Linked DNA regions of Macaca fascicularis. The protein of the gene in region 3 interacts with the protein of the main gene of each other region in a biochemical or structural test. Links are inferred from orthologs where the notes say so. Each region holds a gene or a part of one and is shown on either strand. Other genes may lie near its edges.

Region 1 (3,752 bases), on a different chromosome or scaffold from region 3:
TAGCATGTTGATTTCTTGAAAGGGTGGCACAACACAAAACTACAAAATCAACGTATCCTCAACTGATTTTTTAAAAACCAAATAATCTGGGGAAGAAAATGTACCTTTGTAGATCAAAAGTCTTCCACACATTCAACTTGAGGTCAAACAAACCAACCCACGCAGAATCTTCAAAGAACTTCAGGCTGACCTAAAGCGTATTTTTTGCTACAGCCAAATTAGAATACTTGCCCTATTTAGTTGTGAATATCGCAGTATAAATGACTTTACAAAAAAATCTGGTAATCTTACAGACAGAATTTTACAACAGTGAAATTTGTACCATAATATAAAATCCTACCAAATGAATAGAATCTATCATTTAAACGGCATCAGGGATTTCTGCCTGTTAAAAAGTGGAGGACTGAGCAAGGAGCAGTGGCTCATGCCTGTAGTCCCAGAAGCTCAAGAGGCTGAGGCGGGAGGATCACTGGAGCCCAGGAGTTCGAGGCTGCAGTGAGCTGTGACTACACCACTGCACTTCAGCCTGGGCAATACAGAGTAAGACTCCATCGCACGCATGCATGCATACATACAAGTGGAGGATTACCTGCTGTAATTCAGCCACTTAGAGAAAAAGACTTAAAACAAAATTCAACACAGAAAAACCATCACTGCCTACCCAGCACTCATGTCAGAGTGTTCCATGAGGTCCCCCAAAATGCACCTACCGTCCCGGCGAGGATGTCATGTGGGCAGCAGTCCAGAAGGTGACTCTTGCAGACACGGTCATCTGTAAACTTGACCCTCTGTCTGGTTTCGTCTCCTGAAATTCATTTGTGGTTTTAAATAAGACAATATTATCACGTTAACCACAAGAAAACACTAGTGTAATGATTCACCTGGATCATTTGCAGTCTATCATTTCTGTGTTCTCCCCATCAAATACAATGAAAAGCTGATCTAAAGATATTTACACTGGAGTGGAATACACATTTTTTTGAGGCCAGTTATATCATGAAGAATCACACTTAATGAGATCTGACTCCATCAGTGTACCAAAGTAGTCAAGGAGTCAGATGTAAGCAGCTGAGCACCAAAAGGCCATTGGCTCCACATATACATGTGGCAATGAGATTCCAAAACCCAAGCTAATCAGAGGTCCATGAACCACCAAGGGCGACTTATAGAGCTGGTAATTTCCACCAACAAAAGCTACTTATTAATCTTTTAGTTATGAACAAATGCAGAGGCAGTATTTTGCCCAAAATTGAATGAAGAAGAAAGCTTTCAAACGCTATTGAAGACTGTTAAATAATCTAGATCTATTCTTCCTATGCCCCTTTCGTCCCCACCCTTAAAAAAGAGAGTTGCTACCTGGGAGTCACTTTTAACAAGACAATACCAAAAAAAGCAAAAAGGAACTAGGTTAGTCAATACACACTGTGAGCTCCAACACATACTGTACCCATCTGCATTCTTCAAGACCTCAGCTGCAGAATTTTATGCCCGCTGTTGAAAAGTGTTAAAGGAAAAGTTTTCTTGCCCACACCTGCAGTAAGGAAGTCGGGGGAATGATACATAAAAGTAAAGGCAAAGTGGTATGTGACAAATTCTAAAGCTAGTCTGTGTATACAACACAGAGCTGTGCAACGCTAGAGGAGGAATATATTTTAGGATTTGCAAGCATCCAGGATTAATGTAGTGTCTTTTTATTGAAAATGTTTTCTTTCTAAACTACACTTTTAAAGTTACTTGTGAAAAAAAGCAAACACTTTTTTGTTATAACAGCTTAGAAATTGGTTGTGACTCACGGCTCGATGAACATGAGGCTTTCTGCAACTCCCTTGCAGATTGATGTAGGCAGGCAAAGATACACTGAACCTTTATAAATAAAATAGAGGGGCCACAATTGTTCAGTTTGTATGAAATAAAAATATGGGAAGCAATTCAAAAGCAACTCAATATACAAAGAAAGCTAAAAAGCACTTATTCACCTATGAAATAAAGTGCAAATAATCTGCACAGCCCTGAGAATGTGCCAGTGTGAACTTACAACTTCATTACTTCAGCAGAAAAGAAAACACAAACCACAGCAGGTATATAGTTTTGCGAAGATGCAACCGCTTTCTCCTGTGACAACCATCATGATCTTGAGCTCCTCCCTACACAGTACAACCTACCTAACCACTGCCAAGCGCTGGCTACACAGAGGCTCTCCTGTGTGCTGGGGGAAGGAGGGAGCTGGAAAAGTACTCGGCAGAAACCCACGTTAGAAAGGCTCAGTTTACGGCTCCCCTTGCAATGGTACAGAACCAGAACGGGTCAGGGTTTCGAGGCCCATCCGGCTCCCTCGGGTGTAGCTTCTTCCCAAGGAGCCTCGGAGGAGTTCTGCCACCCGGCTGCCAGCGACCTGGAGCCCACGCTGATTCCAGCCCCTCGCCGACTCCACAGTTCGCGGAGGGGCACGGAGCCGCGGCGCCCGTCGGGGAGGAAGTAGCGGGACGGTAAACGGGAAGGAGGCTGAAGCCCCATCCGTGGCGCAGACTCCGAAAGAGGAGCCGGACCTGGACCCACGGCCGCCTCAGAGACCAACCGGCTTAGACAAAGGCCCGGCGCCTGCGGTCGGCGCGCGGCGGAGGAGGAGGGGTGCCCCGCGCAAGCGCAGGCGCAGACGATCGCGGCCCCCGCCTCAGGCCGCCCGGCGGCCTCGCCTCACTCCCACCCCAGACCCTCGCCTGGTTGGCCGCTGTGACTCACCGTCCCGAGCCGTGCCCATGAGCTGGTCCAGCAGGGCCCGCATCTGCGCCTGGGCGGACATGGTAGCCGGCGGAGGCGGTGGGGACGGCCGCGACGGCTTCTCTCAGGAAAGCAGCGGCAGCGGCGTCGACAAATGATGGTCGCGTCGGCCTCGAGCCCACTCGGCTCTTTCCCGCCGCGGGGGACGCCGGGAGGAAGTACGAAGGCGCCGGCGCACAGCCTGCTGGGAAATGTAGTTTCTAGGGTGGGTGCTTGGGGGAGACTGAGGTTCTGAGTGGTCTACGGAAGTTGTCCAAGGAAGGAACCAAAATCCCAACGCTGATTTTACTCTAGACCCCCAGGACCTCAAATGAGTCTCTACGGAGGGTAAACTACAATAATGTCAAATACAGTCTATCAAAAACAAGATAAATCCGTGCTTTTTCTAAGCTAGCCATGAAACCGTGAGCATATTAACTCCCCGACGCTCATTTTTTTTAAATCTGTGAAATGAGGATTCTAAAGGTGTCCCTCATATGATTTTTGTGAAAGTTAAATAAAGCATGGAATTTTACTTATTTTCATTTATTTATTTATTTTTGAGCGAGGGTCTTGCTTTGTTGCCCAGGCTGGAGTGCAGTGGCGCGATTACCGCTCACTGCAACCTCGACCTCCCAGGCTCCTTATCCTCCCTCCTCAGCCCGGCAAAGTATTGGGATTATAGGTGTGAACCACCATGTTTGGCCATCAGTTATGGCATTAATATTAGGTTCTATGATTAAAACCTCGTGGTCGTCCTTCTGTGAGCTCATGGTCTACCGTCCCAGGGGCTAAAAACAGGTATGTCTCAGCAATTACTTTATGTGATAATAGAATTATAGCATGCACTTATGTGTGCATAGTCTGGCATAGACTTCTATTAAAACTTTTCTTATTTTTTATTATATTTTATTTATTTATTTATTTATTTTTGAGATGAAGTTTCGCTCTTGTTACCCAGGCTGGAGTGCAATGGCCTGATCTCGGCTCTGCCT
Region 2 (3,652 bases), on a different chromosome or scaffold from region 3:
TGGGAGTGGTGGTGCATGCCTGTAATCCCAGCTACTTGGGAGGCTGAGGCAGGCGAATAGCTTGAACCGAGGAGGCGGACGTTGCAGTAAGCCAAAATCACGCCACTTCACTCCAGCCTGGGTGACAAGAGCAAGAGTCCATCTTAAAAAAAAAAAACAACAACAACAATCTGAGGAAACCGCTAATGTCAAATAAAAAAAAAAAACATTTTGATGATGCATTAAGTATGCTCAACCGCACCATCTTAATAGGGCATTCAAGGCCCTTTACAATCTGGATTTAAATTCTTTTTCAGGCCTTACTCTTCTGGCCTTTTAATGACTACCTGCCATATTCTATGACGTTATTTCTCAAACAGAAAGTGTATACTTTCATGTCTGACATTTTCAGTGTATACTCTATGGTATTTAACAGCTGACTTGATTCCTCTACACAACTCCCATGGATGACTGATTAACTCAGTTCAAACGTTAAGCATTTGTCAATCAGTAATTTTTACTCCAAAATCAGAGACAGAATTGTTATATACAGCAATAACATTAAAATACTAATGATTAGAATACTGGTATTCTAAGACAAATAGTAGTACTATGCTTCATATAAAGTAATGCGCTTTATATATTGCATTTTTAAAGTGTATTGCATATAATAGTTTGCTCCATATACTTACATATACTGCATGAGTTTAAACACGACAAGCCAAATAAGTCTAACATTTACTTCATGTTAACTGAGACTGATATCAGATTGTCAATGTGGTAACACTCTTAAGCACATCATTCTATTTCTTGTTTAGTATTTGCTATCATCAGTTCTAAATCTATTACCCAAAGCCACCCATAACCCAGTCCCTAGTCACCACACTCAGCGAATTCTTTTGTATTTTTAGTAGAAACAGGCATTATGAAATAATGCATTAAAATCATTATCACCCTACCTAATAATCTACTTAAGGTTATTTTTTTCTTTTGGAGGAAAGGGAGTATGTTTGGAAACATCTTTGATGTTCATCACCACAAACTAGAAAAACAAAATGGTTCTCATTAATAGCTGTTTAGCAGAAAGGCAAAACACTTTTAACATACCTATCATAATAGTCCCGTTGAAAGTCATAGTCCAAGTCAAAAGAGGAGCTGAAAAATAAATACCGAAAAGGGTTAATTTGGAAACGCTGCTACTAATTCACAACATCAGGTGAGGGGAGAACCATGCCAAATAAACCACAACAGATAGATCAACAAGATTAGCACTGAATGATCCCCAATCATTCATACAATAAATCACTCAATTCCAATCACCTTAGACCACTGGAAATGTAGTGGTCAAATTGGTAATTCAGGTTAAAATTCACTAAGATTTCCACATACGACATAGTTAAACTGAACACTGAAAAACAGAATGGTAAACTAAACATTCTTATACCACACTTCTTCCCTCTCTTACTCTCTGGTGTCTTAGAAGCTCAACGATCCTGTAGAAGTATTTCAGGCTATGCTATAAATATCAAACTACTCCTAAACATCAATAGCAAAAACCTCAGGGATTTTTAATTCTCTAGTAATTTTCGCTAGGGCAAAAGAGAGACATATTAACACAAAAATAATGAAACCTTATTTATACACAGATAAAACACAGTACACTTAACCCTCCCCACATCCAGAAAACAGATAGAGAAGATGCCCACTGATGGACACAATGCAGTTATAAATAATAAAGTTTCCGGACCTGAGTAGAGGGGACGGAGAAGGGTGTTCTGTTACTGACCCGTACATCTCCGCTGCAGATCGTTTCACACCTGCTTTTCCTCGGTTCACTTTTGGCTCTGCAGCCAGGTTAATATCTGAAAAACAAAAGCAAAAATTTTAGTGACAACTTTGTATCCAGGTAAAACAAACTACAAAGTTAATTTTTTTATTTTTGAGACATAGTTTCGCTTTGTCGCCCAGGCTGGAGTGCAATGGTGCCATCTAGGCTCACGGAAACCTCCACTGCCCGGTTCAAGGGATTCTCCTGCCTCAGCCTCAAGAGTAACTATGACTACAAGCGGGCACCACCATGCCCAGCTAATACAAAGTTTAGAAAATCACAGACATAAAAATTAGAAAATATGAAACAAAACAACTCATCTTTCCTATTTTTTTTTATTTTATTTAAGAGAGGGTCTCACTGTCATACAAGCTGGAGTGCAGTGATGCAATAATGGCTCAATACAGCCTAGACCTCCAAAGCTTGGGTGATCCTCCCATCCAAGTAGCAGGCACCACCAACGCTGGCTAATTTTTCTGTTTTTCTTTTTCTTTTTTTTTTTTTTTTTGAGATGGAGTCTCGCTCTGTCGCCCAAACTGGAGTGCAGTAGCCGGATCTCAGCTCACTGCAAGCTCCGCCTTTCAGGTTCACGCCATTCTCCTGCCTCAGCCTCCTGAGTAGCTGGGACTACAGGCGACCGCCACCTCGCCCGGCTAGTTTTTTGTATTTTTTAGTAGAGACGGGGTTTCAACGGGTTAGCCAGGATGGTCTCGATCTCCTGACCTTGTGATCCGCCCATCTCAGCCTCCCAAAGTGCTGGGATTACAGGCTTGAGCCACCGCGCCCGGCCAATTTTTCTGTTTTTCATAGGGACGAACTCTTGGGGTCAAGTGATCTGCCTTGACCTCCCAAAGTGCTGGAATTACAGGTGTGAGCTACCATGCTGAGCTTCATCTCTCCTTTTAATATTAAAAAGGCTCATAAATTTTTACAAGGCTAAGACTTCATCTTCTATGTATTTGCACTCTGTTCTGTACCACTAAAGTGTTCCTGAGACATAACATTAAGTCTGTCTTTGGTACTCTCCACCCTCAGATCCCACTTTAACTCAACTCTCCCCATTCAAGGCACTGACTGTTCACTCAGTTACTATTACAAGAGAAAACTATCAATGGTTACCTTTCCAAGAATGGTTCAGTTCATTCCGAATTATTACAAATATATTAAAATATACGCCAATCCACAAAACAATATAGTGCAGTGTGACACCCTCAAATCATCCTCAAAGGCAACTTCAGATTTCCCTTATAAGTAAGGATTAGCTGTACTGCATGTAAAACATCCGGGGTTAACAACTGCTTTCTGAATAATTCATAAGTTGCTTAAATAACCTTTACATATATCAAAAAAATAAAAGAGCAAAGGGAAACAACCCTAGTTTTCAAATACAATTTGTAACACATAAGCCCAGCTACCTACCCTGCCACCCATGACCTTCCAAACAAGAATTCATCTTCTCCTTGTTCTAAAAACCCCATGTCAGAAAGCCAATTCAGTTTTTTAACTTCCCAGTCGTGCTAAAGCACTCAGTCAACAATACCTCCATTTTCATATATACTGCTTTAAAATTAGTCTCATTTTAATACACACATGCCCCAAAATATACAAATTCCATATATATATATATTTTTAGACGGAGTCTTGCCCTGTTGCCCATGCTGGAGTGCAATCACGGCTCACTGTAACCTACGCCTCCCGGGTTCAAACAATTCTCCTGCCTCAACGGCTTGGATTACCGGCGCCCGCCACCACGGCCTGCTAATTTTTTGTATTCTTAGTAGAGACGGCTTTTCCCGGTGTTAGCCAGGATGGTCTCCATCTCCTGACCTCATGACCAGCGCAACT
Region 3 (3,652 bases):
AAATGGAAGTGCAACTTTATTTAGAAAGAGTTATTTTCCCTTAAGGGTAACTTTTTCTTATAAGAGCAGGCCAATTATTAAATGAATGAAAAATGAGATTTAGAAAACCTGAAGCTTTTACCCCAAAAGCAAAGAGGTGTTTACTAGGTGGTACATAAGTTAAACACATTCAAAACGTGTTTTATTGATGGAGATAAGTACTTAGTGAGGCCGTATTAAGGACAGTAACAAGTTCTTATTCTTGACCCATCAACTTCTTAAGGTGAAGCTGAGGACCAGGAAGAGAAAGAAGATGCTGAGAAAGAAAACATTGAAAAAGATGAAGATGATGTAGATCAGGAACTTGCGAACATAGACCCTACGTGGATAGAATCACCTAAAACCAATGGCCATATTGAGAATGGCCCATTCTCACTGGAGCAGCAACTGGACGATGAAGAGGATGACGAAGAAGACTGCCCAAATCCTGAGGAATATAATCTTGATGAGCCAAATGCAGAAAGTGATTACACATATAGCAGCTCCTATGAACAATTCAATGGTGAATTGCCAAATGGACGACATAAAATTCCCGAGTCACAGTTCCCAGAGTTTTCCACCTCGTTGTTCTCTGGATCCTTAGAACCTGTGGCCTGCGGCTCTGTGCTTTCTGAGGGATCACCACTTACTGAGCAAGAGGAGAGCAGTCCATCCCATGACAGAAGCAGGACGGTTTCAGCCTCCAGTACTGGGGATTTGCCAAAAGGTAAGTGTTCTTCCCATCAACTGTCTGCCATTACTGACTCCAGGGACGTGCCGTTAACAAATGCTATGAAGGAACTGGCTGGAAGTGGCCAAGCCCTGTTTGTGTGTGCTAATCATTTTTATTACTTTTATACTCATGAAGAAGTAATGTGATTTAAATACATGTTCTATGCCACTAGACTATCTCTTGCTCTCTGCATACCAAATCTTATTTCTGATCAGTTCTCATTTTTAATATATTTATAGTCAGCAGCATCATTTGCAAAAACTGGAAGGTTTTTGTAAAAAGGTTTTTGTAAAAAGATGTAAAACTACATCTTTCTAGAATGTGTAGTTTAGTTTATCATTTGTATCTTCTTCTATCTGATATTATTATAGTTTTTTTTGTTTTGTTTTGTTTCTATTCAAGAAAAGTATACCTCCTCTTTGACTCTATTGAGAAAGAAGTGTCATATTGTCTTTTGATATTTGTTCCTGATTATAGGACCCTACTATTGATAACGGGCCCAGGATTGTAATTTTCAAGGAATTGGCATGGATTTAGATGTGATGACAGATTATAGGTTGGCTCTTGTGTTCTTGTCTACCTAAGAAGGCTTGACTTATTCAAACCTTTATTTTGGGAGTCAATGCTGAGTGACTCTAGTAAGTGAAACTGGGTAACACAGTTGGTTTCCATTCTGACTCATGGTGGAAAAGCTCTGAAACCTCCTCTGCTCCCTCTGCTGACAAGACTGTTTAACACACAGTGAGTAATTGATGAGCCAGCCGTGCAAACCACCCAAGACATTATACAGCCCCTTTGGTTCCAGAGTCTGGAATTGCACGCTAAGTGAGCTGGCTTTGTTACACGCTGGCTATGATGAATCCTCCTAAGGATTTGCTTTCTTTACTTGGCTGGACGTGGTCAGCTCCTGTTCCCCTGTATAGGGAGTGTTTGAAGGTGCTTACATAGAATGTAGGTTCATGTCTGGGAAAGGGCAGTAGCGAGATGTACCTTATCCAGATTTATTGTTGCTGTTGCAGTTCAATTTTTCTCTTGAGGTTTCTTTTTTCTTTTTGAGATTGAGTCTTGCTCTGTTGCCCAGGTTTGAGTGCAGTGGCGTGATCTCAGCTCACTGCAACCTCTGCCTCCCGGATTCAAGCGATTCTGCCGCCCCAGCCTCCTGAGTAGCTGGGATTACAAGCATGTGCCACCACGCCTGGCTAATTATTGTATTTTCAGCAGAGACGGGTTTTCACCATGTTGGTCAGGCTGATCTCAAACTCCTGACCTCGTGAGCCACCGCGCCCGGCCGAAGTTTCATATAGAAAGTAATTTACAAAGTATCTTTTTAATTATTTCTATTTTATTTATTTATTTATTTATTTATTTATTTATTTATTTTGAGACAGTCTCAGTCTAGTTGCCCAGGCTGGAGTGCAGTGGTGCAATCTCAGCTCACTGCAACCTTTGCCTCCTGGACTCAAGCAATTCTCCTGCCTCAGTCTCCCGAATAGCTGGGATTACAGGCGCCTGTCACCATGCCTGGCTAATTTTTATATTTTTAGTAGAGACGGAGCTTCACCATGTTGGCTAGGCTGGTCTCCAATGCCTGACCTCAGGTGATCCGCCCTCCCCAGCCTCCCAAAGTGCTGGGATTACAGGTGTGAGCCACCATGACCAGACCAAAGTACCTTTTTTATTTGTACTTAGTTTGCAAGTATTAGCTTAGGCTGCAGTGGCTTCAGTTACAGCCAACCCTCCGTATCCATGGGTTTTACATCTGTGGATTTCACATCCATGTGCTCAGCCAGCCTCAGATGGAAAACAGTTGGAGGGGAAAAAAAAAAACCTGTGTCTTTATTGAACATGTACAGACTTTTCCCCCTTGTCATTATTCCCTAAACAATACAGTATAACAACTATTTACATACCATTTACATTGTAGCAGGTATTATAAATAACTAGAGATCAACTAAAGTATATAGGAAGATGTATGTAGGTTGCATGCAAGCACTATACCATTTTATATCAGCGACTTGAGCATCTGTGGATTTCGGTGTCCTCAGGATGTCCTGGAACCAGTTCCCCGCAGACACCGAGAGGCACCCACGTATCATCAGATTAATCCCCAGCTCAGAACTTAATAACTGTGGAACTTTGGTTTCTTATCCTGTCTGAGCCTTGGCTTATTCCTCTATCAAAGGAAAGAAATGGCTACCTCTAGGGTTGTTAGTAGCACTGAGTTAAATACAACAGGTCAATGGCAAAGGTAGATAAATAACATACAATAATATATTGAAAAATTTCCCATTGAATGTAAGTTGCCTTGGTCATCACAATCCATGTAAAGGAGCACAATTGCTGCTTGTTACCACGTGGTCACCATCGAGGCCCAGGCAAGTCATAAAACTTACCCTGTTGTTTACATGACAGCTCCATCTCTGTCACAGGAAACTTCAAACCTTACATGTTAAAAACCAGAATACAACTCACCCTGCCAACCTGCTACACATGCTGTATTTCCTGCGCTTGTTACCACCATTTCTTGTTGCGTCAGTGAGAAACTTGATCATCAGTATGTCCCCCTTTTTTCTCTCACATCCAGTAAATCATCTCGTTTTGCTAGTCATACCTCATAAGTAGGGGTCCTGCTTGCCTTGGCCCTACAGTGGGCACTGTCATTGCTTGCCTCTGCTGTTACGGAGGCTCCTTACTGGTCTCTTGGCTTTGTGTTCTCTCCAGCTTTTCTCCCCACCTGCCTTTCAGCATGCCCTTCCATGGTGCTGCTAGAGTGTCTTTGCAGTATGCTTACCCGATCAGTGTATTCCCCTGCTCACAGTTTCCACAGGTCCCCATCATCTACAGCAGTGGTCTCCACAGTGGAGAGTGTACATCCCTGCATAGCCAGCACCATCCAGGAAG

The links.
Region 1: of the proteins of SRPK2 (region 3) and LUC7L, one has a biochemical effect on the other in vitro, tested with the Homo sapiens proteins (2 studies listed by BioGRID and IntAct). The link is inferred for Macaca fascicularis from reciprocal best matches to the Homo sapiens genes SRPK2 and LUC7L.
Region 2: of the proteins of SRPK2 (region 3) and HNRNPC, one has a biochemical effect on the other in vitro, tested with the Homo sapiens proteins (2 studies listed by BioGRID and IntAct). The link is inferred for Macaca fascicularis from reciprocal best matches to the Homo sapiens genes SRPK2 and HNRNPC.

What each region holds. Positions count from the first base shown.
Region 1 is NC_088394.1:970,027-973,778, forward strand, and holds the start of LUC7L (putative RNA-binding protein Luc7-like 1), read right to left. Parts: upstream 2,912-3,752; 5' UTR 2,801-2,911; coding exon 2,740-2,800; intron 1,864-2,739; exon of another isoform or gene 1,794-1,863; intron 806-1,793; coding exon 711-805; intron 1-710. UniProt on the Homo sapiens protein: May bind to RNA via its Arg/Ser-rich domain.
Region 2 is NC_088381.1:88,893,731-88,897,382, forward strand, and holds part of HNRNPC (heterogeneous nuclear ribonucleoproteins C1/C2), read right to left. Parts: intron 1,842-3,652; coding exon 1,727-1,841; intron 1,135-1,726; coding exon 1,087-1,134; intron 1-1,086. UniProt on the Homo sapiens protein: Binds pre-mRNA and nucleates the assembly of 40S hnRNP particles. Interacts with poly-U tracts in the 3'-UTR or 5'-UTR of mRNA and modulates the stability and the level of translation of bound mRNA molecules. Single HNRNPC tetramers bind 230-240 nucleotides.
Region 3 is NC_088377.1:146,652,076-146,655,727, reverse strand, and holds part of SRPK2 (SRSF protein kinase 2), read left to right. Parts: intron 1-262; coding exon 263-745; intron 746-3,652. UniProt on the Homo sapiens protein: Serine/arginine-rich protein-specific kinase which specifically phosphorylates its substrates at serine residues located in regions rich in arginine/serine dipeptides, known as RS domains and is involved in the phosphorylation of SR splicing factors and the regulation of splicing.